4 linked regions of the Pelodiscus sinensis genome follow. The protein of the gene in region 3 interacts with the protein of the main gene of each other region in a pairwise test. Links are inferred from orthologs where the notes say so. Each region holds a gene or a part of one and is shown on either strand. Other genes may lie near its edges. The genes, in order: surfactant protein C-like, PLP2, TMEM79 and RPRM.

What was found.
Region 1: the proteins of TMEM79 (region 3) and surfactant protein C-like interact in binary tests that used the Homo sapiens proteins (3 or more experiments, as listed by UniProt). The two-hybrid records come from large-scale screens. The link is inferred for Pelodiscus sinensis from reciprocal best matches to the Homo sapiens genes TMEM79 and SFTPC.
Region 2: the proteins of TMEM79 (region 3) and PLP2 interact in binary tests that used the Homo sapiens proteins (3 or more experiments, as listed by UniProt). The two-hybrid records come from large-scale screens. The link is inferred for Pelodiscus sinensis from reciprocal best matches to the Homo sapiens genes TMEM79 and PLP2.
Region 4: the proteins of TMEM79 (region 3) and RPRM interact in binary tests that used the Homo sapiens proteins (3 or more experiments, as listed by UniProt). The two-hybrid records come from large-scale screens. The link is inferred for Pelodiscus sinensis from reciprocal best matches to the Homo sapiens genes TMEM79 and RPRM.

Annotation. Positions count from the first base shown.
Region 1 is NC_134738.1:11,604,048-11,611,292, reverse strand, and holds the start of surfactant protein C-like, read left to right. Parts: upstream 1-4,133; 5' UTR 4,134-4,271; coding exon 4,272-4,454; intron 4,455-4,656; coding exon 4,657-4,803; intron 4,804-5,980; coding exon 5,981-6,121; intron 6,122-6,649; coding exon 6,650-6,760; intron 6,761-7,245. Other genes in the region: LGI3 (leucine-rich repeat LGI family member 3), read right to left, coding at 1,762-1,973. UniProt on the Homo sapiens protein: Pulmonary surfactant associated proteins promote alveolar stability by lowering the surface tension at the air-liquid interface in the peripheral air spaces.
Region 2 is NW_027465877.1:87,134-94,352, reverse strand, and holds the start of PLP2 (proteolipid protein 2), read left to right. Parts: upstream 1-4,007; 5' UTR 4,008-4,084; coding exon 4,085-4,171; intron 4,172-7,219. UniProt on the Homo sapiens protein: May play a role in cell differentiation in the intestinal epithelium.
Region 3 is NC_134734.1:16,208,335-16,216,681, forward strand, and holds the start of TMEM79 (transmembrane protein 79), read right to left. Parts: upstream 3,126-8,347; 5' UTR 2,976-3,125; intron 1-2,975.
Region 4 is NC_134717.1:29,121,205-29,128,135, reverse strand, and holds RPRM (protein reprimo), read left to right. Parts: upstream 1-4,872; 5' UTR 4,873-5,249; coding exon 5,250-5,579; 3' UTR 5,580-6,195; downstream 6,196-6,931. UniProt on the Homo sapiens protein: May be involved in the regulation of p53-dependent G2 arrest of the cell cycle. Seems to induce cell cycle arrest by inhibiting CDK1 activity and nuclear translocation of the CDC2 cyclin B1 complex.

The sequences.
Region 1 (7,245 bases), on a different chromosome or scaffold from region 3:
CCCCCCCCTGCCCTAGGACTTGAACGGGTCAAGCCAGGGACAAGGGGGGGGGAGCAGAAATGGGGTTTGCAGCTGGGCCCAGCCCATCTCTATTCGAGGTCAGGATGGGAGCTTGGCAGGGGGCGGGGGCAGGCCTGATGCATGTCCTGTGCTCACACTCTCACACACACACTCACACTCACACACAGATGCACACTCACACACATTCACACACACAAACACAGATGAACACTCACACGCACATGCACACTCACACACACTCTCATACATGCACGCACACACACACATACTCACACCAACACACACAGATGCACACTCACACGTACACACTCACTCACACACGCGTGCCCACACACACAGATGCACACACAGAGACGCACACTCATGCACACACACACAGAGATGCACACACACACACAACGCACCTGCACGTGCCATGCAGCAGATGCACACCCCAGACAAATAGGGGCACCGCCCCACACACATCGAACACACCCCGAGCACAAGCCGCCCTTCCCCACCCTGGCGATGGAAAAAAAGGTCTGTCCCAGCAGGGCCCTGCAGAGATCCAGCAGGGACGGGCGCAGAACAGAGGAGACTGCATCTCGTTCTGCCCGGGTTCCACCCCGGCCAGGGAAGGGGAGACCCACGGGCGCAGGGAGGGGCGCTGCGAGGTCTCTGGGGGGTGGCCCGATGCCACGGCAAAGGGCCCAGTCAGGACCTAGTGCTTAGTGAGAATCAGCTGTGATGAACACAGTGGAAGGAAAGGGCTGCCTAGGGCTGTGCTGGGGAGCTGCCCAGGAGGTGGCAACACAGGGAGAAAAGTGTTTGTGTCTCCCTCTCCCTACACACACGCACATGCTTACTGCCCTTGCACCAGAACACGCACACGCTTACTGCCCTTGCACCAGCATGCATACACACACTTACTGCTCTTGCACCAGAACACGCACACGCTTACTGCCCTTGCACCAGCATGCATACACACACTTACTGCTCTTGCACCAGAACACGCACACGCTTACTGCTCTTGCACCAGCATGCATACACACACTTACTGCTCTTGCACCAGAACACGCACACGCTTACTGCTCTTGCACCAGCATGCACACACATGCTTACTGCCCTTTCACTAGCATGCACACACACCCACTTACTGCCCTTGCACCAGCACGCACACACACACTGCTCTTGCACCAGCATACACACACTTCCATTTGTGTATACACTGAATTCGTTTGCACAACGCACACATTGCACCTCTGTGCACGTCCCGGATGATCAAAGACTCCCAGGGTGCACACGATGTGCGGGCATACAACCCCCGTCCCCGTGCTCACGCAGCCAGACGTGCACCGCCACACACACTGCCACAGGCCACGCTCTAAAAGAAAACGACCCCCACCCCGAGGGGCAGAGACCCCCAACAAGGCCGTGCAGGCACGGTGATCTCATGCAAACTAGCAGCTCCAGGATAGTCCCGACAACCTGCATGCACCCAGCGGGTTATTACTGAACACACATCACATAGATACCCCCTGGAATCCCCCCGTCTGTGTTAGCCAACCCACAACCACCCCATCCTCTTGCACCCCCAGAGAATGTGCTGCCTTTTGGGGAACCCCCAAGAGCATCAAGGACCCTCAGCCCGCAGATACCCCCCCCGCTTTCTCCCTCACCCCAGCAGAGGCTCCCCTAACCCCCCGTATCCCACCCGCGATCCCCCCTTGCCCCGCTCCCGGCGGCTCGGCCGCTACTCACAGGGAGATGACGTCCGGGGGCAGGTTCCTGGGCACCGCCTTGGCGTCGATGCAGAAGGCAGTGTCCCGGGTGCAGGAGCAGCTGGGGGGACACAGGGGCAGCTTGGGGGCTCGCTTGGAGCCCGCCGGCAGCCAGAGGTAGGCCAGGCTCAGCAGGAGGAAGGCAAGGACTCGCCCCCGCTGCATCACTTTGCCTGGCTGCAGCTCAGCCATCGCCCTGACCTGGCCTCCCCCACCTCCAGGAGAAGAACCCCCCCGGACCGTTGCTTCAGTTCTGCCCTGGACCCCTCCCAGCGCCCCTGGCCTGGCTGTCAAGGCCGGGAGCTGCAGCCAAGAGCCGGAGCAATCCGGGGAGCGAGGATGCTACAGTCCATCTTGCTGCTCTGCAGAGCACCACACTCAGCTGCCAGAGGGGGGGTGGAGCAGGAGTGTTTTGCTGCCGAGTGATTCGTCTAAGTTCTGTCGCTGCTGGGGATCTCGTCGGTGCACGGGGAGGGCGTGAGCCCATTGTGCACACTAGGGTGTGCACGAGTGTGAGCTGCCTGCACTCCCGCGCTTGCAGGGGTGCACGTGCTGCACGTGCCAGTGTGTGGGTGTGTGTCCCAGGTGTGAATTCTGCGCGCATGTATGAACGCATACGTGCGTCTCTCTGTGCGTGCGAAAAGTGAAAAGACACGTGCAAGAAGGCTGTGGTGAATGTTTGTAGCGTGTTCGTGGCAATGTGGTGTGTACACAAATATAGGATGGTGTGGTTCCTTCGCAGGTGCGGGGGTCTACCTGATGGCGCACGCCCGGATTGTGTCTGGATGGGACTGCGAGCTTCTGTGCGTTTGTGTGTGCTTGCACGAGCCTGAGTTTGCACATTCTGTGGGTGCTTGTGTGCATGTTCTGTTGGTGCGTGTGTGGACACACGCACGGAGGCCGGAGCACTTGTGTGCGTGAACACGTGTGCACGTGCACGAGTGTGCACTGAGTGCTCTTGTGCGTATCCGGAGTGCAGGGTAGGGCAGTTACCACACAGCCTCGTCCGCTGGCTTCTGGCCCTCGCCAACTCACCCTCCCCATCACGCCCCCCCTCCACGCACACTGAGACCTGCACCTGCAGCAGGATCCTCCCCGTGAAGCAGGGTCTCCCTGCCTGCCCATTTCCTTCAACCTCTGCCCCGCAGCATTCGACCTACCGCCGATCCCCTCCCCCATCGCCCTGGCAGCCACCTCCCCTGCCCCCCCCCCCCCCCCCCGTCCCACACGTCCTTGCGGAGCCTCCTGGATAATTCATGACGAGCGGCGAGCGGCACCAGCCAGCAGTGGCTCCGGTCCCAGGCACGGCCGTCTCCTGGCTCCACAGAGGCAGTCTCAGCTCTGCAGCTGGCGCCCCGGCCAGGGCACTGACAACACACAAACAAGGGGCTGGGGGGCCGGGCAGAGGCAGGGCAGGGGAGGAAGTGGGGCTGGAACTCCTTTTGGGGTGGGGGTGCTGAGCTGCACCCCGCCCCCACCACCCCGGCTGAGAACCGGCTGCCAACTCTCCCGGACCGGATTCCACCGCTGCAAACGGCGTCCGGTCCAGGAGAGCTGGCGACGCTCACGCCCCAGGCTGGGGGCAGCTGCAGAGCCCTGGGCCGACGGCGGGACCCCGGAGCTGGTGGGGCCAGTGGGCAGTGGGACCCCGAGGCCCGACAAAGCCCGTGGGGCTGGTGGAGGCAGGACCCCGAGGCCCGGCAGAGCCCGTGGGGCTGGTGGAGGCAGGACCCCGAGGCCCGGCAGAGCCCGTGGGGCTCGGGGAGGCAGGACCCCGAGGCCCGGCAGAGCCCGTGGGGCTCGGGGAGGCAGGACTCCGAGGCCCGACAGAGCCCGTGGGGCTCGGGCAGGCAGGACTCCGAGGCCCGGCAGAGCCCATGGGGCTGGTGGAGGCAGGACCCCGAGGCCCGGCAGAGCCCGTGGGGCTCGGGCAGGCAGGACTCCGAGGCCCGGCAGAGCCCATGGGGCTGGTGGAGGCAGGACCCCGAGGCCCGGCAGAGCCCGTGGGGCTCGGGCAGGCAGGACTCCGAGGCCCGGCAGAGCCCGTGGGGCTGGTGGAGGCAGGACCCCGAGGCCCGGCAGAGTCCGTGGAGCCAGTCCAAGTGCCCCAGCGCCCCCCCCCCCCCCCCGCGAGGACCAGGCGCTCCCGGCGAGGGCTCTCGCCAAAGGCCTTTGATGTGCGGCTCTTGCTTTGAACCTCTGAAGCACCTTCCGGTGCCAGAGGGGCTCAGAGGCGCGGGGCTCCGAGCCAAGCCTGGCTCTGGCCACATTGGCGGGCCGGAGACTCCCGCCAGCCCCTCGGAGCCGGGGGGACTCTGGCCTCGCAACCCCTGCGGTTGCGGCTCTCGGGCGCTCAAAGGCCCACGTGCCCGGAGACAAGAGTCCTTGGAGCCTCTCACCGGCCACGGGCCCGGGGCTTATCGGAGACCTGCCTCTGAAGGGCCCCGGGAAACAGGTTCACAAACAAATCCGAAGGGAATTAAACACTTGATGTGGAGCCGGGAGGGCCTGGGGAACGCCAGTGTCCCACCGCTCCTCCGCCCGCCTGCCCTCTGCTCCTCCACTAGCTCAAGCCCCTTATATAAGCCCTTCTCCAGCCACGACGGAGCACGGCGGGATCCACAGAACAAGATGGATGTGAGCACCAAGGAGGCGCTGATAGAGGCCCCGCCGGTACGGCAATGAACACAGGCTGGGCGGTTTTGCGTTTGTACAGCACCTAGCGCAACGGGGTGCAGGGCCACAACCGGGGCTCCAAAATGCTACGTTAATATAAGTAATAACGACTGGGGAGGGGGGTCCTTTCTCTCCAGCATACACCCCTCCCCCCTCCCCCGGTTCTGCTTGCTGTCAGCGTTTTTCTCCGTTCCCACAGGACTACACCGCCACCCCGAGGGTCCCCGGCTTCGCTTCTCGCCTCAAGAAACTCTTGATCGTGGTGGTGGTGGTCGTGGTCATCGTGGTGGTGGTGCTGGGCTTCCTCCTCATGGGGCTGCGTTTGTCCGAGAAGCACACGGAGACTGTAAGTGGGGCGTTAAAACACGGGTCCCCTCCCGCCAGGCGCCCGCGCAGGGGGAGGGGGGGCTGCTCGGAGCCAGGCCTGGTGCGGAGGGGCAATGCGCCAATGCGCCAGAAGCAGATGCCGCCGGGCACAGCGGGCGGCCACCGCATGGGGCTGGTGCAGCCACGCCTGGAGCTCAGGCAGCGGGGGAAATGCGCCCGAGCTAAGACGCCGGAGCAGCCGGGAGAAGAGGCTGCTCCAGCGCCTCCGTGGGAGCCGGTGGGGGTGTGGACAAGCAGAGGGAACCCCAGAGGAGGCTGGGCCGTTGGAGGACTAGGGTCTGTGGTCAAAGCAATGACCGACCTCAGCAAAATTTCTGGGGTTCCTTGGAACCTCAGGAGGTCACCTCACCCCCTGCCCAAAGCAGGACTAACCCCGATTCAACCATCCCAACCGGGGCTTTGTCCAGCCGGGCCTCAGACACCTCCCGTCTCTTTGCCGGCATGGACTCAGCAGGGGCGAAGGGAAACGGCGCATCTTCAGAGGCGCGTCCTCAGGCAGGCCCTGCCTTCCCAAAGCTGCCCCAGTGCCCCGGCGACCCAGGAGGGCTGGGGCAGCTCGGCTCCCCCGCTGCCTGGGAGCGCTGGGCGGTAGCACGGCATCCCCGGCCCTCCATGTGGCCAGGAAGGATCGGGCTAGGTTTGCCAGATGGTTTAACAAAAAATATCAAAACCCTCCCCTCCGCCAAAAAAAACAACAACCAACCACTGGGAAAAAATTCTTCTGAGGAAAAAAAAAGGGGGAGACCAAAGTTGTTAAGCAAAAAAAAAAAAAAGGTCACTGCAGCTTTAAATTCCTGCCCTTCTCGCTCCCCTGCCCTCACAAACGCCTTTACATGTCCAGTATTCTCTGGTTTTTTTTTTACCAGACAGAAGGCCAAAATACCGAACTGTCCAGGTGAAAACCAGACACCTGGCAACCTTAGATCGGGCTGGGGGTGGGAGGGATTGGGGGGGGGGGATGCTGAAGGGGCGGGGCCTCAGGCAGGAGGGGCGGGGCCTCAGGAAGAAAGGGCGGGGCTGGGGCTTGCCTTCCCCAGCTGGGTCTTCATCTGGCGCCTATGGTATAAGCAATGAACGGCTCTGGCTCTGGCTCCCCGCCGCACACACCTCACCCCGGGGGTGTCCTTGTCCCCTAGGTGTTGCGAATGACTATCCAGAGCCTGGACGGGGAAGGGTCCCCGCAGCAGCTCTCCATACGCGGGAAAGAAAAGACCGGCACTTTCTACGTCACGGCAGGGATCAACTCGTCAGCCACCGTGGTCTACGACTACCGCCACGTAAGCAGGGCCAACGGGGCAAAGCTGGGTGAGGGCTCCGGGGAGCGTCCCCGGCTCGGCTCAGACCTCAGGCAGGCTGGGACCCGGCTGGCCGCAGGCTGGAATCGCTGGAGGCGACCTCGCATGAGCGGTAGAGGAGCCGGGGTTACTTTCCGCCGGGCCCACATCGCCGTCCCAGAGGTACCCAGAGGTCCCAGTGCTGCACCCCAGAGACGAGCAGCGTAAACCCCAAGATCTGCGCGTGCCCCAGGTTTGGGGTGTTCCGAGTCCCACCGTGGGTTTTGGTCTTGCAAATGCAATCTCCAAGGAGGCTTGGATCCCGTTTCCAGCGACCCAGCCCCCCACGCTGCGGACAGGGACACATCGGCCCGGCCCTTCTCCAGCGGAGGGGGCAGGAGGCTGCCGGGCTGAGCAGAGGGGACGGAGAGGGTCACAGTGGGGGAAACAGAAGGGGCCGGTTTGCAGGGTGATTTGGCTCCCGGGGATCTGCCAGGGTTTAACGTCACCCTCTGCTCCGCCTGCAAACAGCTGCTGATTGGCTACCGATCCTGGCCGGGCCGGGCCTGCTACCTCCGCCGGATGGACCCGGAGAACATTCCAGGCCTGGATGCCATTGCCAAAGCCTTTCAGCACCGCCAGGTGAGCGGCCGGGGCCAAAGGGGGCAGAGGAGAGCGCGGGGAAGGGCCGTGAGACGTTTGTGAGAGATGAAAACCCGGCGGAGGCCGCTCAGAGTCCCTGGGAGACCGTCGCACCGGCGGGCTGAGCTCCCCCGGGAATCAGTCCTAGAGACAAACCCAGGAAGGAAGCAACCGGGGAGCATTTCCCGGCGCAGAGCTGGCATTGCCTGCAGTGGCTGCGGCCGGGAGCCCGCGGGGGCCGCTGTCTACCCCTCGCCTCCCTGCTTTCACTGCTAGGCGATGCTGCCTCTCTCCTGTGCCAGATGGATCAATGTATTGGCAAGGAAGGCTCATCTAATGTTTGAGCAAGGGGAGTGTTGCTAATGAGCATTATTCCCTCTCATTTTTTCTAATTTTTTTCAATCCTCGCGTGCCTTTCTCCATCCAGGTGTGGAATAACATTTTTTTCTACGCACCAAGGCACGTGCAAATGTGCACCACCAGCA
Region 2 (7,219 bases), on a different chromosome or scaffold from region 3:
ACGCCCACCACCTCCCTGGGGGCCGGCCGCAGGGTCCCGCCCATTGGCACGGCCTCCCTGGGCCCCTCCTGGTGGCAACTAACGCGTGGCCCAGGCAAGAATTCCAGCCCCCTTCCTGCCCTGCCTCCCTCCCCCGCACTGAGCGGTGCCTTCAGCCCCCCATGCCAGGGTGTAGGGCCCACCGTGGGGCAGGGCTGCCTGTCAGCTGGGTGCGTGCGGCCACTCAGCTCCAATGCCGCCCCCGCTGGCTAGCAGAGCCCCCCCCAGCTGGCAGCCTGCGGTTGCATGGGCGGTGCCCATCTGCAGACCCCGCGGCGCACGGAACAAAATGTTTTCCACAGGTGGAGAGAAAAGGAGAGGCACAGGGTGAGCTGGTGAGGAGCGGGGCTGGTGGGCGGGGCGTCCCGCCGCTGGCTCTGCCCTTGAACTCCCCCCCCCCAGCAGAGACACCCCGGCAGCCACTGCTGGCAACTTGGTCATTGCTTTAATAGGCTGCCCCAGGGCTACTGGTATTGCTGGGCAAGAAAGAGCAGACCAGGGCAGGGAGTGGTTAGAGCAGAGACTGCTGGGAGCCAGGGCTCCTGGGTTCTCTCCCCGGCCCTGGGAGGGGAGCGAGGCCAAGACACCTGCCCTGGGGGGAGCCGGAGAGCAGTAGGGGAGGCAGCTCAGACACAGGGTAGCCACTGAAGCTCTCAGCCCCCTCCAGGTTGCAGGCTGCTGTTTGCCTCCCCCCCCCCCCCCCCCGGCAGGCAGTAGAAGGGGAAGGGAGAAGCGTGATGGGGTGGAGCGGAAAAGGCAGGGGTCAGGACGATGGATCGAGGGGACGGTCCCGGATTAACAGCAGGCGCTCAGCTCAGATTCGGGCCTGGGCCCCCTTGCAGGCCTTGGGGCCTCTGGCTTGGCTGCCCCGGGTGCCAGCTGTTCCAGCGGCTGTTTGCTCCTGCATCTGGCACAGCCCAGCCCAGCCTCACCACTTCCTGCCAAGGCTCTGCAAACACTGGCTAGGTTGAGTCAGAGGCTGGCTCCGTGCCCAGTCGGCCACCTCCCTGCCTGCAGCGCCTGACCTGGACAGGGGGGCCAGGCGGGGGCCGGCCCGAGCATGGGGCGGGCGAGGCAGCCGGGGGGACGATAAGGGGGGAGATGTGGATGGATGGGTGGATAGAAGAGTCAGGGGCAGGGGGGTGGACGGTGGGTCTCCCCTCACTGAACATCGACCTGCTCAGCACACCTGGCAGACGCAGCAGCGTCCCGGCCCAGCGAGGGGCTGGTGTTCCCGTGTGTGGCGGGCAGCTCCCCTGGGAACAGACGCCGGCCTGTGCGGGGCCGCCCTAGCCAGGCACCGTCTGTTTGCAAGGTGAGTTTGCATTCACCGAGCTTGTGCTTTTTCTGGAGCCGGTTGCCAGGCCAGTCTCGCCTCCCGGGGAGCTGAGGTACCTCCAGGACTGGTTGAGAACCACTGTCCAGCCTTCGCCTCTAGAACAGCCAGGCTGGATCAGACCCAAGGCCCATCCCACCCAGCGTCCGGCCTGCCCACAATGGCCAATGCCAGGTAACCCAGAGGGAGGGATCACACCAGAGAACCAGCCCATTACCCTCCCCGATGCCCATTCCCAGCCTCTGACACACAGAGGCCAGGGATACCCTCCCTACCCAGCCTGGCTAACGGCCGTCGATGGACCTAGCCTCCATGGATTCATCTTGTTCTTTCTTGAACCCTGTTACAGTCCCGGCCTTCACAACATCCTCTGGCGAGGAGTTCCACAGGTCAACTGTGCACAACATGAAGAAAAACTTCCTTTGGTTTGTTTTAAACCCCTAGTTCTTGTGTTATGGGAACAAGTAAATAACTTTCCTTAGTCTCTCCATGCCTGTCATGATTTATAGACTTCGATCAGATCCCTGTCAGTCTCCTTTTCCAAGCTGAGAAGTCCCCGTCTTTTTAATCTCTTCTCATACGGGGCCCGCTCCAAACCCCTCAGCATTTGTGTCGCCCTTTTCTGAACCTTTTCCAATGCCAAGAGACCTTTTCTGAGAAGGGGCGACCACACCTGGACGCAGCATTCGAGCTGTGGGCGTCCCGTGGACTTAGAGAGGCAATAAGATATTCTCTGTCTTATTCTCGATCCCTTTTTGAATGAATCTCAGCACTCGCTTTGCTTTGTGACGGCCGCTGCACACGGAGGGGATGTTCGCAGAGAACTATCCACCTGACCCCAAAATCTCGCGCTTGAGTAGTTGTGGCCAGATTAGTCCCTGTTGTGCATGTAGCCGGGGTTATTTTTTCCATCACTTTGCATTTACCAGCATTACATTTTATTTGCCATTTGGTTGCCCAGTCACCTAGTTTGGTGAGATCTCTTGGAAGCTCTTCCCACTCTGCTTTGGTCTTAACGGTCTTGAGCAGTTTGGTGTCATCTGCAAATGTGGCCACCTCGCTGTTTACCCCTTTCTCTGCATCATTTATAAATAAGTTGGACAGGACGGGTCCCAGGACAGACCCTTGGGGGACCCCACTTGTTACCTCTCTCCACTAAAACTGACCATTTATTCCTCCCCTTTGTTTCCTGTCTTTTAACCAGTTGCCAATCCATGAAAGGACCTTCCCTCTGATCCCATGACAACTGACGTTACTTAAGAACCTTTGGCGAGGGACCTTGTCAAAGGCTTTCTGGAAATATAAGTGCACTGCATCCACTGGATCCCCCTTGGCCACATGGGGGATGATACCAAACTGGGTGGGGTTGCGACTTCTTTGGAGGATAGGGACATAATTCAAAATGACCTTAGCAAGTTAGAGAAATGGTCGGAGGTAAACAGGATGAGGTTTAATAAAGAGAAATGCAAAGTGCTCCACTTAGGAAGGAACAATCAGTTCCATACATACAAGATGGGAAGCGACTGTCTAGGAAGGAGCATGGCGGAAAGGGATCTAGGGGTCATAGTGGACCACAAGTTGAATATGAGTCAACAGTGTGATGCTGTTGCAAAAAAAGCAAATATGATTCTAGGTTGTATCAACAGGTGTGTTGTAAGCAAAACTCGTGAAGTCATTCTGCCGCTCTACTCTGCACTAGTTAGGCCTCAGCTGGAGTACTGTGTCCAGTTCTGGGCGCCACATTTCAAGAAAGATGTGGAGAAATTGGAAAGGGTACAGAGAAGAGCGACAAGAATGATTAAAGGTTTAGAGAACATGAGCTATGAAGCCAGGCTTCATGAACTGGGCTTGTTTAGTTTGGAAAAAAAAAGATTAAGGGGGGACATGATAGCGGTTTTCAAATATCTAAAAGGGTGTCACAAGGAGGAAGGAGAAAATTTGTTCCTCTTGGTTTCTGAGGACAGGACAAGGAGTAATGGGCTTCAAGTGCAGCAGGGGAGGTTTAGATTGGACATTAGGAAAAAATTCCTAACTGTCAGGGTGGTCAAATATTGGAATAAATTGCCAAGGGAGGTGGTGGAATCTCCCTCTCTGGAGATATTTAAGAACAGGTTAGATAGACATCTGTCAGGGATGGTGTAGACGGAGCTTGGTCCTGCCTTGAGGGCGGGGGGCTGGACTCGATGACCTCTCGAGGTCCCTTCCAGCCCTAGGATTCTATGGTTGTTGACCCCCTCAGAGAACTCCAGTGATTAGTGAGGCAGGATTTCCCTTCCCAGACACCCTGCTGACTCCCCCAACATTGTCAGGGGTTCTCAGACTTGTGATACGGCGCCCCCCCTCTGAGTGGCTCGGGCCCCCGGGGGTCGGGCCCCGGTCTGAGAAAGGCCGCGTTATCTTCATACCCTTTGCTCTAGTTTCAACTCATTTGCCCGGTTCTGAGATTAGGCTCCGGCATCCGACGCTGCTGGACTTCTCCCCTGCGCTCCACCGCCCGCTCAGCCCGGCTCCAGCGCCCAGCGGAGCCACCTTAAGCGGGCTCCAGCGCCCTCCCGCGCCACCTTAACCGGGCTCGAGCGCCCGCCCCGCTGCGGAGCCCAGAGCCTTTCTTGGCCATGGCGGGGGCCCGCCCGGGCCGCGCCCAGCCCCACCCCCGTCGGCTGCCGGCGCCAGTCCCTTGCCAGCCGGAGCCCAGGGGCTCTGCGGGTCATGGAGCCGTCGGGCGGGCAGGGCTGCGTGGGGCGCTGCGGCGCCTTCCTGCGCTCCCCCAAGGGCATCATCCTGGCGCTGGAGATCGTGAGTGGGGGCCCGGGGCGCCCACGTGGCCGGCCGCGGCGGGGGGCGCCCGGGCTGCCCGCGGGAGGGACCCAGGCGGCCAGTGTGATGGGGGGCGGGGGATGCCGCGCCCTCCCGGCTCGGGGCGGGCAGCGGGGTCTAGCGGTGAGAGCAGCGGGCTGGGCCCCTCCCGAGCCCTTCCCCGCGCTGTTATTTCGACACCCCGAGCTTCCCGCGCCGGGGCCATGTTCCTGGGTGCGGCTGCCCGGCGTGTCCGCGGGGGGCTGCGCTGGGGTGCGCGCAGCTGAGCCGGTGCGGCTTCCGCGTGTGCTGCGGAGCGGGGTGTGTGTGGCTCTGGGAGGGGTGTTACACGGTGTGTGTGTGTGTGTGCGGCTCTGGGAGGGGTGTTACACTGTGTGTGCGCGCGCGGGAGGGGTGTTACACTGTGTGTGTGTGTGTGTGCGGGAGGGGTGTTACACTGTGTGTGTGTGTGTGTGTGTGTGTGTGTGTGTGCGGGAGGGGTGTTACACTGTGTGTGCGCGTGTGCGGGAGGGGTGTTACACTGTGTGTGTGTGTGTGTGTGTGTGTGTGCGGGAGGGGTGTTACACTGTGTGTGTGTGTGCAGGAGGGGTGTTACACTGTGTGTGCGCGTGTGCGGGAGGGGTGTTACACTGTGTGTGTGCGGGAGGGGTGTTACACTGTGTGTGTGCGCGCGGGAGGGGTGTTACACTGTGTGTGTGTGCGCGTGTGCGGGAGGGGTGTTACACTGTGTGTGCGCGTGTGCGGGAGGGGTGTTACACTGTGTGTGTGTGTGTGTGTGCGGGAGGGGTGTTACACTGTGTGTGCGCGTGTGCGGGAGGGGTGTTACACTGTGTGTGTGCGCGCGGGAGGGGTGTTACACTGTGTGTGTGTGTGTGCGCGCGCGCGGGAGGGGTGTTACACTGTGTGTGTGTGTGTGCGCGCGCGCGGGAGGGGTGTTACACTGTGTGTGTGTGTGTGTGTGTGTGCGGGAGGGGTGTTACACTGTGTGTGTGCGCGGGAGGGGTTACAGTGTGTGTGTGTGTGTGTGTGTGTGCGGGAGGGGTGTTACACTGTGTGTGTGTGTGTCTCTGAGAGGGGTGTTACACTGTGTGTGTGTGTGTGTCTGAGAGGGGTGTTACACTCTGTGTGTGTGTGTGCACGCGCAGGAGGGGTGTTACACTGTGTGTGTGTGTGTGCGGGAGGGATGTTACACTGTGTGTGTGTGTGCGCGCGGGAGGGGTGTTACACTGTGTGTGTGTGTGTGCGCGCGTGCGCGTGCGGGAGGGCTGTTACGCTGTGTGTGTGTCTCTGGGATGGGTGTTACTCTGTGTGTGTGTGTGCAGGAGGGGTGTTACACTGTGTGTGTGCGTGCGCGGGAGGGTGTTACACTGTGTGTGTGTGTGTGCGCGGGAGGGGTGTTACACTGTGTGTGTGGGGGGAGGGGTGTTACACTGTGTGTGCGTGTGTGCGCGCGCGGGAGGGGTGTTACACTGTGTGTGTGTGTGTCTGGGAGGGGTGTTACACTGTGTGTGTGTGTGTAACTTGGTGGGAGTCACAGGCTGTGCTGGTGTGTAGCTGTGCGGCAGGGCGTTTACCATGTGGCTGGCAGGGTGCCAGAGGGTGTATGTAGCCATGTGCTGGTGTGTGCAGACTTGGGGCAGGGCCTGTCACGCGCACGTACATGTGTGTGTGCACGCGCATCTGGAAGGGGTATTGCGCGCACACACACACTGTACCTTGGGGGGAGTCTCCGGCTGTGCCGGTGTGTAGCTGTGCAGCAGGGCATTTACCGTGTAGCTGGCAGGGCGCCGCAAGGTGTATCTAGCCATGTGCCGGAGCGTGCAGACTTGGGGCAGAGCCTGGTGTGTGTGTGTTGTGTAAGGAGCAGTGCAGCGTGTACCCATGTTTGGAGGGGAGGGCACAATGGGGGGTGTCCTTGGTGGGGGGACTGTGTGCGGGCAACCCTGGGATCTCTCTATTTGGGGAGACAGGGGGGTTATAGGCCCCCCCATCTGGCCTTTCCCTGTGCCTCACCCCAAAGAAATGATTAACTCCCCAGCTCCCCCACCCCGCTCTCCTACAGGGAAAAGTGAGCCCAGGCATCCTGGCTTCCAGCCAGCTCCTGGCACCCCTAGACCTGGCTCCCAGGCCCCCTCGCTCTAACCACCAGACCCCACTGCCCTGGCTTGCCTTCTTAGAAAGGCAGGGCTCCTTTCAGGCACGTTCTCCCAGGAAGGAGACAAGATGTTTACAGGGCAGAAGCAACAGGCCCCGGCAGGGCCGAGGTGTGACTGGGCAGGGAACACACGCCCAGTTCTGTGCCCTGCCCAGACCCGTCTCCTCACGTCCCGCTTCCCCACCCCTCTGCTGCTAGCGGCCCAAGCTCCTTGCGGCAGGGTGCTGGCTCTTTAAGTACTCGCTGTAATCCCCCTCTGCTCCACCACCACCCCCCCACTCCGCCTGTAGCGGGCACTGTTCCCTCTGCTCCGCCTGTAGTGAGCACTGCCCTTTTCACAGCTCCCCTCTACTCCGCCTGTAGCAGGCACAGCCCCTTTCACCTCCCCCTCTGCTCCACCTGTAGCGGACACTGCACCCTGCTCTGCCTGTAGCGGACACCACCCCTTTCACAGCCCCCCGCTCTGCCTGTAGAGGACCCCTTTTGCAGCCCTCCTCTGCTCCACCTGTAGCGGGCACTGCCCCTTTCACAGACCACGCCACTCCTTCCGTAGGGGGCACACTGCCCCTTTAATAGCCCCATGCGCCCCACCTGTAGCAGGTGCTGCAATTTTTAAGAACAGCTCAGGTGCCTGCTGTAGGTACTGCCCCTTTAAGACCCCGTCCTCTCTGCCTGTTCTGCACACCGTCCCTTTAAGGCCCTCCTGTCCCATCCGCCTGTAGCAGCCTCCAGACCTGACACTATTTGGCAGGGGGAGCGGGTGTCATGTAATGGTTGCCATGGTGCCCAGCCCCACCTCTCCCCTCCTAACACTCGCCCCTTTGTCAGCCCGCGTGGGCTGGGATTTTGGGCCTCCAGACGCGACAGGCTGG
Region 3 (8,347 bases):
CCTTTGAAATGTACAAGAGCCCCCACTGGGGCTCTTGTACATTTCAAAGGAGGAAAGTGGAACTCTACGTACAGCCTGGGGCCAGCAGGAAGTACTGCTGACTCCGGGCTGTACGCGGGTGCCTGCTTTGAAATGCACAAGGGTCCCCTGCGGCCTGCGAGGGCTCTTGTGTATTTCAAAGCCATGGATCCCGGGGTCAGCGGGGGACGTGGGAAGTGCAAGGTTCTGCGTAAGTGCTGCGCGGAGCCTGGGATCAGCTGGGGAGTCCCCAGTTAACCCTGGGCTCCACTGCCCCTTTGAAATGCCACCTCCCTGCATTTCAAAGGGGCAGTGGAACCCAGGGTCAACTGGGGACTGTCCAGCTGATCCCGGGCTCTGCACGGAATTTCTCCAGAACCCGGGATCTCCCCAGCTAATCCCGGGTTGTGGGGAAATGCAGCGGGGAGCCTGGAGTCAGCTGGGAGTGCCCAGCTGGACCTGGGCTCCACAACAGCTGCCCCTTTGAAATGCCAGAAATGGCATTTTAAAGTGGCCGCCGCCGCACAGCTGATCCACAGATCATCTGTGCAGCTGCTGCTCCTTTGAAACACTGCCTTGGGGTGAAACACTTGCCACTTTGAAGTACCCCTTCCTCCCCTCTGCTTTTCTGCCTCTATCTCATAGAAGCAGCAAGGGGGACAGAGAAATCAATTAGTCGACTAGTCAAAAGACTATCCGATAAGCAAATGCTTATTGGCTAGTGGATTAGTCGACTAGTCTTTAACATCCCTTCTTGGAACCTAAATCTTGGATCCAAAACACTTCTGAATTGGAATCTGCATTTATGCTCTGGCCCCTTATTGGTTGAACATAAAGATCCCTGAATGTTGGGAATAGAGATGCAAATTTTGGGGCTCTGGAACCTGGATGGTAGTTAAAAGAGAAGGGCTTGATTTTCAGAAGTTCTGGCAAAGCCCATCCAGTTTAACAGGGCCCTTTGCTTCATCAGGCAGGTAAATACTTGCCGATAGCCATGAGCTTACCTGGAGGGACATTTATTAAACTGAGGAGGAGCAAAAATGTTTAGTGCGTCCCTGAGCTGCACACACACCGTGCAAATCTCTCCAGCCTTAGAGGGAGTGGCTTGAATGCTGATTTGCAAGAGCTGGGAGGCAGGCCCCTCTCAACTGCAGGCAGCAGACCAATAATTAAAATACCACTGAGTCAGAGAGGTGCAGGCCAGAAGGGACCCCTACCAGATCTTCTCGTCTGACCTGTATCTCACGGGCCACCGATACCACCCGCACACCAATCCCAGCAACTGAAAGGAGATTGAAGTAGGCTAGCCCATAGGAGAGGAGACAATCATAGAATCATAGGACTGGAAGGGACCTCGAGAGGTCATCGAGTCCAGCCCCCCGCCCTCAAGGCAGGACCAAGCTCCGTCTACACCATCCCTGACAGATGTCTATCTAACCTGTTCTTAAATATCTCCAGAGAGGGAGATTCCACCACCTCCCTTGGCAATTTATTCCAGTGTTTGACCACCCTGACAGTTAGGAATTTTTTCCTAATGTCCAATCTAAACCTCCCCTGCTGCACTTTAAGCCCATTACTCCTTGTCCTGTCCTCAGAAACCAAGAGGAACAAATTTTCTCCTTCCTCCTTGTGACACCCTTTTAGATATTTGAAAACCGCTATCATGTCCCCCCTTAATCTTCTTTTTTCCAAACTAAACAAGCCCAGTTCATGAAGCCTGGCTTCATAGGTCATGTTCTCTAGACCTTTAATCATTCTTGTCGCTCTTCTCTGTACCCTTTCCAATTTCTCCACATCTTTCTTGAAATGATGTCCCCCAGGCTGGCAGAGAATAGGCACTGGGAGGCGACACGGCCCCTGTCGTGTTACGCATGGGGGCAAAGCCGGGAAATGTTGGCAGCCCCTCCTGGATTGGCTGAGATCTGCCAAGGAGGAGAGCTAGTTTATTCACCCCAATGTTGAACTCTGTGCACCCGTCAGGGATCCCTGGGGAGCCAGATTCCCAGCCGGTGTCTGGGAGCTACCCCCGCGGAGGATCTAGCCCTGCTGCTTTTCAAGAGACATAGGAGCGTGTCCATGTGGGGCTCAATACGGGGGAGATTAAGAGCCACTTGCGATGCCTTCTGCCACAGCGTTAGCGGTGGAAGGAGAGGGTGTCAAAGAAGCCACAAGTAAAGTATTGACACGTTTCTTGCCAGGGCTGTCCGTACTGGTGCTCGATGCATCCCAGTACTGGTACCCCTCCTGGGAGGGGAAAGGAGTTGCCACCTCTCCCGGACCGGACGCCATTTACTGTAGTGATGGTGGAGCTGACAAGCGGGAGCAGGGCCGGGAGGGAGGCGCAGGCCAGGAGACTCCAGAGGAGCAGCGGGTGGACGCGCATTTGGCCAAAGAGAAGCAGCACGTTCACGGGGGAAGCGCCTCGTCTCTCCAGCCGCCCACTGTGCGGCTGCCCCCTGCTCCGAGTCCCCCAGCCCGTGAGAGCTGCTTGCTGCCGCCTGGTGAGTGGGGCCTGGGTGCTGAGCCTTGCTTGCTGCCGCTGGGGGTTGGGGCTGGAGGTGGCTGGAGCCCATACACAGCATGCGGCTGCAGAGGACACCATGAAACTGGGGGCCCAAATTTTGTGGTGCGTGTTTTGCCTATCAGTAGGGACAGCCTTGTATCTTGCACACCCAGGAATAGTCCCTAGCTTCTTCCATAGCACATTTCATTCAGAGATCTCCGTACGAAAGAGGGCAGGCGCACTGTCCCCACATTGCAGATGGGGAAACCGAGGCACCGAGCAGTAGTCTGACACTCTCTCTCTCTTTCTCTCTCTCACTCACACACACATACACCCCGCCACCCCCAGAGAACTCCCTGTACCCCTCTTCAGAACAACCCTTCCACTCCACCAGACTGCAAGAGAAAATGAGCATAGCAAAGCAGAGAGCTGGTTTCCCTGCTTGGCTGCTTACTTGGAGAGCAGGCTGGGCTGAGCCGGGCCATGTGGAAACGGAGCTGTTTTGCGGATGGCTGTCCTGGGGTTTGATCGCTGTTTGAGGCTTCTTTCCTTTTCCTGGACTTCAAACCTGTTTAGCCAGCCAAGGTGTGGCTACAATTAAAGGGGCAGAGGCAGATTTGCCTCACCCAACCTGCTGAATCCGTCGGCAGAAAAGGCTGTTCCCACAGGTTGTGGGCATGTGTTGTGCATGTGGGGTGGGTGCATGTTTGTGTGGTGCCTGTGTGTTGTGTATGCATGTCTCTGTGCTGCAGCCATGTCTTGTGCAGGCTTGTTTGTGTAATACGTGTCTGAGTCATGCAGTAGTAGTGTATTATTATTATTATTATTTTATTACCCGTCCCGTTGCGACGGTAGACATACACGTGGCCTTCCCCCTCCCCCGCTGTTCATGGGGGTGGGGAGGCTTGATCTGGCTTGGGCAATGCGGCCCCCTCCTTTCCCACTGCTCCAGGGCCGGGGATGCTGGAGCCACGTTGCCTCCTCCCTTCCTGCTGCTCCCGGGGACGGGGATAGATGGGGCTGTGCAGCCTCTTCCCTCCCCACTGCTCCTGGGATGCTAGGGCACGTGCTTGCACTCTTCCCCTCCCCGTGGTGGTGGGGGGCCTGTGTGCGCTCTGTGCGCTGCTCCTCCTTCTCCCGGGAAGAGAAAAACTTAATAGAAACACTTAATGTTAACAAATCTCCGGGACCGGATGGCATTCATCCAAGGGTTCTAAAAGAACTCAAATGGGAAATTGCTGAGCTGTTATCTGTGGTTTGTAACCTATCCCTTACATCGGTTTCCATACCTAATGACTGGAAGGTAGCCAATGTGACACCAATATTTAAAAAGGGCTCTAGAGGCGATCCTGGCAATTACAGACCGGTAAGTCTAACGTCAGAACCGGGCAAATTAGTCGAAACAATAGTAAAGAATAAAATTGTGAAGCATGTAGAAGAACATAATTTGTTGGACAAAAGTCAACATGGTTTCTGTAAAGGGAAATCCTGACTTACTACTCTATTACAGTTCTTTGAAGGGGTTGACAAACATGCGGACAAGGGGGATCTGGTAGGTATAGTATACTTAGATTTTCAGAAAGCCTTTGACAAGGTCCCTCACCAAAGGCTCTTGTGTAAATTACATGGCCATGGGATAAGAGGGAAGGTCCTTTCTTGATTGAGAACTGGTTAAAAGACAGGAAACAAAGGGTAGGAATAAATGGTAAATTTTCAGATTGGAGAGGGGTAACTAGTGGTGTCCCCCAAGGGTCAGTCCTGGGACCAATCCTTTTCAACTTATTCATAAATGACCTGGAGAAAGGGGTAAGCAGTGAGGTAGTAAAGTTTGCAGATGATACCAAACTGTTTAGTATAGTCAAGACAGAAGCAGACTGTGAGGGACTCCAAGAAGATCTCACCAAACTGAGTGATTGGGCAACAAAATGGCAAATGAAATTTAATGTGGATAAGTGTAAAGTAATGCACATCGGGAAAAATAACCCCAACTATATGTACAGTATGTGGGGACTAATTTGGCTATGACAAATCAGGAAAGAGATCTTGGAGTTATTGTGGACAGTTCTCTGAAAACTTCCACACAGTGTGCAGTGGTGGTCAAAAAGGCAAGTAGGATGCTAGGAATTATTAAGAAAGGGATAGAAAATAAGACCCAGAATATCTTACTGCCCCTGTATAAAACTATGGTATGCCCACATCTTGAATACTGTGTACAGATGTGGTCTCCTCACCTCAAAAAAGGTATTTTGGCTTTGGAAAGGGTTCAGAAAAGGGCAACTAAAATGATTAGGGGTTTGGAACCGGTCCCATATGAGGAGAGGTTAAAGAGACTGGGACTTTTCAGTTTAGAAAAGAGGAGACTGAGAGGGGATATGATAGAGGTCTATAAAATCATGAGTGGTGTGGAGAGGGCCGATAAAGAAAAGTTATTTATTAGTTCCCTAAATAGAAGAACTAGAGGACACCAAATGAAATTAATGGGGAGCAGGTTTAAAACTAATAAAAGAAAGTTCTTCTTCACACAGCGTGTAGTCAACCTGTGGAACTCCTTGCCAGAGGAGGCTGTGAAGGCTAGGACTATAATAGAGTTTAAAGAGAAGCTGGATAATTTCTTGGAAGTTAGGTCCATAAAAGGCTATTAGCCAGGGGATAAAATGGTGTCCTTGGCCTCTGTTTGTCAGAGGCTGGAGAGGGATGGCAGGAGACAAATTGCTTGATCATTGTTTTCGGTCCACCCTCTCTGGGGCACCTGGTGCTGGCCACTGTCGGCAGACAGGATACTGGGCTAGATGGACCTTTGGTCTGACTGAGTACAGCCGTTCTCATGTTCTTATGTTCCCCTGTCCATGGTGGGGGCGGGGCCTCAGCAGAGGGGGTGGAGTTTTGGCTAGGGTCCTGCCTTCCCCATGAAACTTGTCAAGTCTTCTCAAATGTTCTCTGTGACAGAGAGTATGACGGATGCTTCTCCTTTTATAAAAGTATATATTATTATTATTTATTTATTATTTAACATGCTTACGTATACTCATGTTGTGAAGGGATGTCAGTGTGGTGTATAGTTGTGTTGTCTTATGCATTCAGGTTTGTGTGTTGTGTTTTCCTGTTCATGGGTATGTGTGACTGGATTGTTTGCACATGTGTCTTTGATGTGTGTGTGCATATACATGCGTTGTGTGTGTATTATCTGTTTGGTGCATTTGCAGTGTGTGTGTGTGCCACGTGGTGTCTGTGTGTATTGGTGCATATATGTGTAAGGATAGGGAACATATAAGTATATATGTTGTGTATGTAATAGGCATAGGTGTGTAAATGTGGTTTCTGTGTGGGGGTTTTTCTATGTGGATAAAAGTGTGTCGTATGTTGTGTGTATCCGTATAGGCTGAAAGCAAAATGTGTGAATGTGATAGCTACAGGCATTAGAGCTGTCGCGTGTGGATCTGCCTGTATGCATATAGAAGTGTGGTGTGTGTTGTGTAATATAAACTCTGTGTGCATGTAGGCACATGTGACATCAGGATAAATGCTGACTTCAGTGTCAGAATCTTAGATCAATATTTAGTTTGCGCTATGTACCAACCCCTGGATTGGACAGTAGTTTGGGTGCTTAATCTGCGTAGCGTAGGAAGCCAGCCAGGGGCTCTCAATATTTCTGTTCAGTTGGAACAACTCACAAGGATCTTGGCGGCAGAGAGAAGCAGATAATACACATCCACAGCCACTTCGCCAAGCAAGCACACCAAGGTTTGTTTTGATGTGGAGCAATTTAGTGAAATGAAATGGGGGAATAGACCTAACGTGGCTACTGTTTATCCTAGCCACCCCCCAAAACCCATCATCAGATTACGTTTAGGATCTAATGATCAAAATTAATGTATGCAATTAAATACTCCAGAAAAGAAATTCCAAATTTAGCTTCTTTCACTCCATCCCATCACAGCACTGCCCAATGGGTGGATAACTGAACTTTACTTAGGACGTGGAATGCCCATTGATTCAGCCTGTTAACATATTTTAAACATATGTTTGAATTCTGCTCCCTTGGGTCCCATCTCCTAGCACTGATCTACCCTGAACTTTAGAAGGCTTGTGTGGCTTACAATACAAAGTGGATTTCCTAGGGACTGATTACATTATGAACTAGAAGATCTACCTGGCGTTGCTCGAGTCCTTAACTCTTTTCTTCATTTAAAGCTCTGGGGTGGGGGATGAGGGGTTCAGCATGCAGTCTTCACTCAGGAGAGAGGACAATCCCAGTCCTCTCTCAGTACAGCAGCTTGGGGTCAGGTGAGAAGCACATAGAATCCTAGAGCTGAAAGACACCTCAGGAGGTCATCAAGTCCAGCCCTCTGCCCAAGCCAGGACCAATCCCAACTCAATCATCCCAGCCAGGGCTTTGCCAAGCCGAGACTTAAAAACCTCTAGGGATGGAGATTCCACCCCCTCCCTAGGTAACTCATTCCAGTACTTCACCACCCTCCTAGTGAAATAGTTTTTCCTAATATCCAACCGAGAGCTCCCCCACTGTAAATTGTAAGTCTTCTGCACTCTAAACAAACCCAAATCCATCAGTCTCTCCTCATAGGTCATGTGCTGTAGCCCCCTAATCTTTTTGGTTTTCCTCCGAAGGAAAAACTTGCCAGCTGTCTACACTGGCCGCTTGAATTTCTGCAAGAACACTGACTTCCTACTGTCTGAAATCAGTGCTTCCTGCGGAAATACTAGGCTGCTCCCATTCGGGCAAAAGTTCTTTTGCGCAAAGCTTTTGCGCAAAAGGGCCAGTGTAGACAGCTCAGATTTGTTTTGAGCAAAAAAGCCCCGATCGCGAAAATGGCGATTTCCATTTCATGAGCAATTGCATTCCAGGCACATCCCAGTGTCCTGGCAAAATCAAACCCTGATCTTGCTTTAAGTTATGATCAGAGGAAGGTGCTTACCAAATTTGTTGGTCCTAGCTCTTACCGTTTAGGAGGAGGTCTTCAAATGGACTCACAGACAGATGGATGGACAGATGTACAATCTCTCTCAAATATATAGTAGATTATAGTTACTCTGGGGACCTCCACTGAAATCAGGACCCTGTTGTGCTAAGCTGCGTGCACACACGTAGTAAGGGATAGTCCCTGCTCCAAAGGGAGTACAGTCTAAACCTTCCCAGATTACTATATCCCTTTCAGGAGTTTGATTCATCAATGTACCCCCAAGTTTCAGCTTGCTTAAAAACTACTTGCTTACAAAATTAGACATGAACATTTAAGTGTCACCATGCATGGTTACTGAAAAAAATCTGATTTTTTCCTTTTTACCATCTAATTATAATATTTATCATCCATCAGTTGGAATGTAAATTATATGGAGATATACCTATCTTATAAAGCCAGAAGGGACCTAGAGACGTCATCAAGTCCAGTCCCCTACATGCACGGCAGGGCCAAGTACCATCCCTGACAGAGTTGCCCCAGATTCCTAAATAGTCACCTCAAGGATTGAATTTACAACCTTTGGTTTCAGAGGCCAATACTCAAACCACTGAGCTATCCCTCCCTATTTCAGTGAAGAATATGTAGAGTAGTATAAACAAGTCATTGTCTGCGTGACATTATAATTTGTACAGCATTCATTAGTGCTTTTTACATAGTGTGTTGTAAAAATAGCCAAATATCTAGATTAGGGGATTTCAAACTCTGTGTTGTGGCTTGTAAGGGCAAGCCACTAGCTGTGAGACGATTTGTTTACCTGCTATAGGCAATCACAGCTCCCATTGGCTGGCCATGGATTGCCACTCCCGGCCAATGGGAGCTGCAGAAAGCGGTGTCCCAGTCTGTACCA
Region 4 (6,931 bases), on a different chromosome or scaffold from region 3:
GGAGACGGAGGGGGGACAGGATAGAGGTCTCTAAAAGCATGAGTGGGGTGGAGAGGATGCATACAGAAAAGTTCTTCATTAGTTCCCATAAAGAAGGACTAGAGGACACCAAAGGAAAGGAATGGGTAGCAGGCTTCAAACTAGTAACAGAAAGTTGTTCTTCACAAAGCAAAGAGTCAACCTGTGGAACTCCTTGCTGCAGGAGGCTGTGAAGGCTACAACTAGAACAGAGTTTAAAGGGACGTGAGATCAAGTCATGGAGGCTGGGTCCATGGAGTGGTATTAGCCAGGGGGTAGGAGTGGTGTCCCTGCCCAAGGCTTGTGGAAGGCTGGAGAGGGATGGCACGAGGCAAATTGCTTGGTCACTGTCTTCAGTCCATCCTCTCCAGGGTCCCTAGGGTTGGCCGCTGTCGGCAGACAGGCTACTGGGCTAGATGGACCTTTGGTCTGACCCAGGACGGCCATTGTAAGCTCAGGGCTCAGGGTCGGGGGTCTCACTAGACCCCCTTGATTCTCTTGCACACCTGCTCCTGGGTGGCCAGGCTGGCAGCTCTCCTGCCCTAGATGGCCACTTTCCTGTGCCTAGTGCGGAGATCATGGACGAGGTCCACGATGTCTGCACTAGCCCAGGGGGGTGCCCGCCTCTTGCGGTCCCAGGCAAGCTCCTGGGAGCCACCAGCCTGGTCCCGGGAAGAGGGGGAGGGCTGGGGGGCATCGGGTGGCTGGCTCGAGCCGTGCCAGGTGCAGGGTCTGCTGGCTGGGTGCTGGCAGGCTTGCACCTGGCACGGGCACCGTAGCCAGCCCGTGCCCCTTTAAGGGATCCGGGGCCGGGAGGGGGGCAGAAGAGTTTCCCTGGTGTTGGCCAGAGTGGCCACCAGGGCAAGCTGGGGAGGGCTAGCCTCCCACTAGTTCGAATTAAGGGGCTACACACCCCTTAATTTGAACTAGCTAGTTCGAACTAGGCTTAATCCTCGTAAAATAAGGTTTTCCTAGTTCGAACTAAGCGCTCCGTTAGTTCGAATTAAATTCGAACTAACGGAGCACTAGTGTAGCGCCTATGAAAGTTAGTTCGAACTAACTTTGTAGTGTAGACATACCCCCAGATACTAACCTTTTTTAAAAAGCTAAAAGGACATTAATTACTTTCCAAATAAGCCATTTCTCTAACTGCTGTGGACATGTGGTACCTTCCTGACTGGAAGTGGAGATGGTGCACTCACAGAGTTCATCTACACTGCACCAGAATCTCGAAATAAGCTATGCAACTTGAGCTACACTAATTGCATAGCTTATTTTGAGTTCATTTCAAAATAGCTTATTTTGTAAATCTACACAATGCCAAATTTCAGAATTAACCACTATTCTGAAACGTCCTTGTGGAACAAGGTTTGTTGGAATAGCGAGACCATTATATTTCAAAATAATGGGCTTGCTTAAAAGATGCGGAGTAGCTATTTCAGGATGCCAGAAGTATCCTGAAATAGCACCACAGTGTAGACGTACCCACAGAGAATTATGCCCAGGATGCAGGGTTGTCCATAAAACAATCTTGTCATTAAGGGGTGCTCCAAAACTTTGTCTAGAGCCCTGGCAATATCAGTTGTTGAGATAAGAATCATATGGGGTTTTCTAAAGATTTTGTGTGTCTTCCACTATCCACTGGATAAAATAACTACCAGCTCTTCATCACTGATTAGAATTAATATGGTGGTTTGTATACATCAGGGAAGACAAAATGCCCTCTTCCTATCCTGTCTGATAATGTGAGAATGACATCAGAGCTCATCCAATTTATGACTTCATAACAGATAGCTCTGAAGGGGGCACAGGGAAAGGATTGGCTATGTCCCTTTTGGCTTGCCAAGAAATTTCTACATGCAGGTAAGTCTGCAGCAAGAGTGCAGGAAACAGAAGAAATCTTTGTCTCAGGAAAGACTTTGAGACACCAACAAACTTTGCTTAGAAGAAGAGTCAGGGCAGGCCTGGAATGAGGAAAGGGATTATGGTATATTTGGGTTCTTTCAGCACTTAATGGCAGTTTGATGTTAGCTCATCAGCTAGGGATTGCACTGCAGGAAATGCCACAAGGAGGGTCAGAGTCATCCCTCTGGATCACTTGCCTGGAACTCTGTAGATTTATTCACAATTTGACAAAGACAGGCCACTTGATTGGGTAACCTTTTGCACAAACATATCAATCATTCTATCTATCAATTTCACAATGTGTCTTTGCTCTCTGTGCTGGACAGCCCTACCAAGCAGATTCTTGTAGGTGTTTCAGAAAATTAAATTTCAATTCCAGCAGGAGATTGCAGGGATGACAATTATAGCATCTCACAACAAATCAGGGATTTGGTACTGGATCAACAGCAAGACAATATGCAAAAACCTCCTATGGGGGTGTTTGGGCCCCATAGGAGTGAAATTCTTCCAACCCAGCTTTTCAGCCAGCTGGATGAATTGTAAGGCTGCAAGGAGACCCACCAACAGGCTCTAGCAATGGACACATTTCTGCTGTCTTGGGTGTCATGGGTCCATTTGTTGACCCTACATTCTCGCTATATGTTAGGCAACAGGCAACAAAAATCCTGGATGCATTGGTGACAACAGGAATTGCCCTTCTCCAACCTTATCTTATTTCCAGAGCTGGAAAACACCATCAGTAATCCAGAAGACAGGCTTCACACACAACAGATTCTCTCCTCCTCGAGTCATGGAAGATTTACAAAGAGCCTAGAGGTTAGCTCATGCTGTACAAGACAGAAAGCTATTAATTTCAGCCTGGTCATTCGACACTTGCTGGTTTGTTTGTTTTTCATGACAAATAGATTCTGTTTGTATCTGTGTGCTTGGTGATGAAAGTCCTTACCAACCTCCACCTCTGCCCCTCCCCATTACTGGGAAAGTAAGACATACAAGATAAACTGTTCAATTTAGCCATTCAGACTGACATAAGGTCAATTTTTGAGACAAAACCATGTGGAATTCAATTTGAAATGCTTCAGCTCTTACTCCCAAATACACAGTTCTCCAGAAAGCAGGGAAGAAGGATACAGAATTAGGTCTACAACTCTAATGGCACCGTAAGTGATGATGCATAGCATCCTGTTAAACTATTTAGCTACTCTTTAGGATTTTAGGAGAATCAGCTGCCAGCAACCTGCAATGTGCTTATACTTTTGTGCAACAAAAAAATTTCTGAAGATTTCTAACTATGGATACTTGCATGTTTGGGACCTTAGAACTTTGCTGTTTAGAAGCAGCTGAATGGAGCAAAGGGAGACACGTGGCTATTGCGGACACAAGTAATCATATGGCACCTGCATTTTCAGCTAATAAATGGGTCTGGTTAAAACATCTGGCTGATTTTACATCTAAACCAGGCCTGGGCAAAATACAGCCCGCGGGTCAAATCTGACCCACCAAGCCACTGGATCTGGCCTGTAGACACAGCGGGGAGCCCTAGAGAGGCTCCCCTGTTTGCCCCGCAGCCTCACACACTGCTCAGAAAAGCAGCTGCGGGGCACTTTCTTTTTAAAAACTGAACTTGGAGGGGAGGGGAGAAGGCTTCAGGTGTAACTCCCATCCCAGCGGCCTGCTTCTGGACCGAAACTTGTCAATGGGAGCTGCCTGTTTGAATAACAGGAAGCACACAAAGCAGGGGGCGGGGCAGGCAGGCTGGCTGAGAAACTTTTTAAACTCTGCAAGCATTTAGCTCTGCAAGGAGGCAGGCTGGTTGGGCTTCTGGCTGGTAAGTCTCCTGGACATAGCCTGCCTCTGGCACCCCAGCCGCTCTCTTCCCCAACCCTCTGTCTTAACATACCCAAACCCTCCTGAACCTATACCCCAACCCAGATCTGGCACCCCAGTCTCCTGCCTAGGTTACAATCCAAACCCCTGTACCCCAGTCACCTGCCCTAGATCACAACTCCCTCCACCGAAACTCCCTCCCTGATCCCATCCTCCCTCCTGCACCCCAATCCCTTACCCCAAGCTCCCTTCTGCACTCAACCTCCATCCCAGACCACACACCTCCTCCATTAATACCATGGAAGAGTGTGACCCTCAACCACTTTCCAAAATCTTGGAGTGCCCCCCCATCAAAAATTATTGCCCACCCCTGCTGGAGACACTCCTATTGTGTCGATATAATCCAGATAATGATTCATCTGATCATAACAGCACAGAAACCCCACTGATCTGACTTGCGTATCTTGATGAACTAGCCAATTTTTGGTCCCACCCCTTGCAAATCTCTTGCATACATAAAGAGCAAATGTAGCTGATCATCTTACACCAAAAGAAACTAACTATACTACCATAAGTGAATCCCAGAACAAAGGTGCTGCAAAAAGCTAGATCCTGCCAAGTTTGGTTTAAATGGACTTTTGTGTGTTGTTTTGTATGTGTGTATGTGAATCAGCCAAATTCCAATGTCTAAATAGAGAAGATGTTCACATACTCTTGCTGCACACTATGAATCCTGGACCCAGTGTCCTCATGAAACTGCACCAAGAAAAGTTGGATCCAGCAGTTCGATTTTACCCTGTCCTGACAAATGTTGGCCACCCCCTGGGAAACTGCACCTACAAATACAAACAAGGTATCACTGCTGCCAGTTGCAGAGGCACTACATCTAGACAGCAAAGCTAAGGGAGGGGTGGGAATGCCAGGTGTGATGCAGCCCAAAGTTAGCTGGGCCCAGCAGGAGACAGGTGCCAGCTTTTGCAGTGGCTTTGTGCCAGGCAGCTGCAGGGGGTGGGTGGAATCTGTCCCCTCTACCCAGCTGTGGAGAAGTCCCTGCAGCAGCCAAGTCCTTCCCTCTGGGCTGCCACCTCCCCGTCCCCAGCCCCAGGTGGGAGCCCTCCAGCCCTTTACAGCCAAATCTCCAAGTCCTCCCATGCCAAGGCGAGTGGGGCTGTGACTCCAGCAGCAGGCTCCTGCCTTTCCTGCCTGCAGCGGCAGCCGGAGCCGGGCAGGGGCGCTCTCCCCTCGGAGCTGGAGGCCGCAGAGCCAGCGAACGCCTCCCCCGGCGAGTGGCTGCCCTTCCAGGCGCAGAAGTTCTCGCAGCCCCAGCAGAGCCGGAGGAGGCGGGCGAGCGCAGAACTCGCCCGGAGCGGCCGCTGCCTGGCCCCGCACCCCGCCGCTCCCTCCCTCCCTCCTCCGCGGCCGCTGCTGCATGAGGCGCCCGGGGCTGCGCTCCGGGGCCACCTGTTCCGCTCCGCGCCCGCCCGTGCCCGCCGCTGGCCATGGACGCCTCGCTGGGCAATCAGACCGGGGCGGCGGGGCTCTTCGCCGCCAACAGCAGTGACTCCCTGGGGAGGCTGCTGAACTGCTGCACCCCGGCCTCGGTGGTGACGGACAACGGCTTGGCAGGGAGCGGCCCGGACGAGCGGAGCCTCTACATCATGCGGGTGGTGCAGATCGCGGTCATGTGCGTGCTCTCGCTCACCGTGGTCTTCGGCATCTTCTTCCTGGGCTGCAACCTGCTCATCAAGTCCGAGGGGATGATCAACTTCTTGGTGAAGGACCGGCGGCCGTCCAAGGAGGCGGAGGCGGTGGTGGTGGGGCCCTACTGACTGGCGAGCGAACAGGTGGCACCGCCGCGCCGGCCCCCGTGGCCTTTTGTGCGAGGAGGCCAGCCCCGCCCCGGGACCTGCCGCCGGGGGGCTCTTTCCCGGCTGCCGGGAGTCGGTCCAGGATCTCCCGCGCCTGCTGCGCGGGGCTGGCGGCGCCCGAGGATGGGTGGCTGGGGGCGAGGACAGCCCCGGCCGGGCAGCCCCTGCGTGTTACGGCCGGAGCGGCGCCTCCTGCAGGGGCTTGTACATAGCGGCGCTGGCGCGCCGGGTGGGTGGGGGGCTGCTGCATGGCGAGTGTTAATTCCTGTGGTAAACGAGATTTGCTTCCGAGGGGCTGCGGGAGCTCAGCGGGGACTGGAGATCGGCGCCTGGGCTCGGCGGGACGCGGGGGGTACAGCGCGTGGCCTCTGGCCCAGCCCCGGCGATGGGCGAAGTTGTCTTTCTGCGGGAGCGCTCTCGGCTCGCCAAGTTTGAACCGGTCCCTCCTGCGCCTGCGAGCCGCTCCGCTGAGCCCTCGCTCGCCACGGCCCGGGCTGCCCCGCCACACGCGCTCGGCCGGTTGTTGTTGTTCTTTTCCTGGTTTCATTGGCTTTAATAAATACACCTTAAACTTTTAGACCCTGCGCTCTTGGGGTCCTTGTGCGCTTCCCCCGCCGGCCACCCCGTTCGCTCTCGGGTCTGCAGGCGCACCGCCTCCGCTCTGCCCGGGGGGGGGCTAGAGAAAACACGGGTCGAGGCTCGGGAGAGGGCAAAGGGGATCAGCCCAGGGCACAACCCAAGAACCGCGACTATCGTAACGCTGCGGGAATCGAACGGCAACGCGCTTTGCCTCGCAAGTCTGCTCCCCCCCAGTTTAGGAGCTCGCGGGGCTTAGCAGAGTGCCGCTACAGGAGGTCAGTTTCACCCAAGGGTCGTTTTAAAGCGCGTCCTCCCGTGTTAGGACGGAGCTGGGGGGAAGGCTACGCGTCTGTCACAGGGTGGGATCCACCATGAAAAGCATGTTACGCAGCTAGTAAAAAGTGGGGAGTTGTGCTCTGCTAGGAGTCATCGCTCCTGTAATTAGCTTTAGAAAGGGAACTTTGATGAAAAAAGTATCGATTGAATCAATGTCCGCGGCAAGTCGATTGAGCCTGAAATACACAACACAGTCAATACCTCGTCTTTGCAACTCAGGAATCTGCCGTTTTATTTTGCCTTTTAAAACATCCTTTTGAGCAATAGTGACACACAAAGGCGATGGGGGCTAGGCCTAAAAGTAAGACCAGCACTTTGAACGAACAGCCTGGAATCCCGCCAAGAGCCAGAAATGTGCCTTGGTTCTTACACGTTAGCTCGAGCCTTTGATCAGTGCT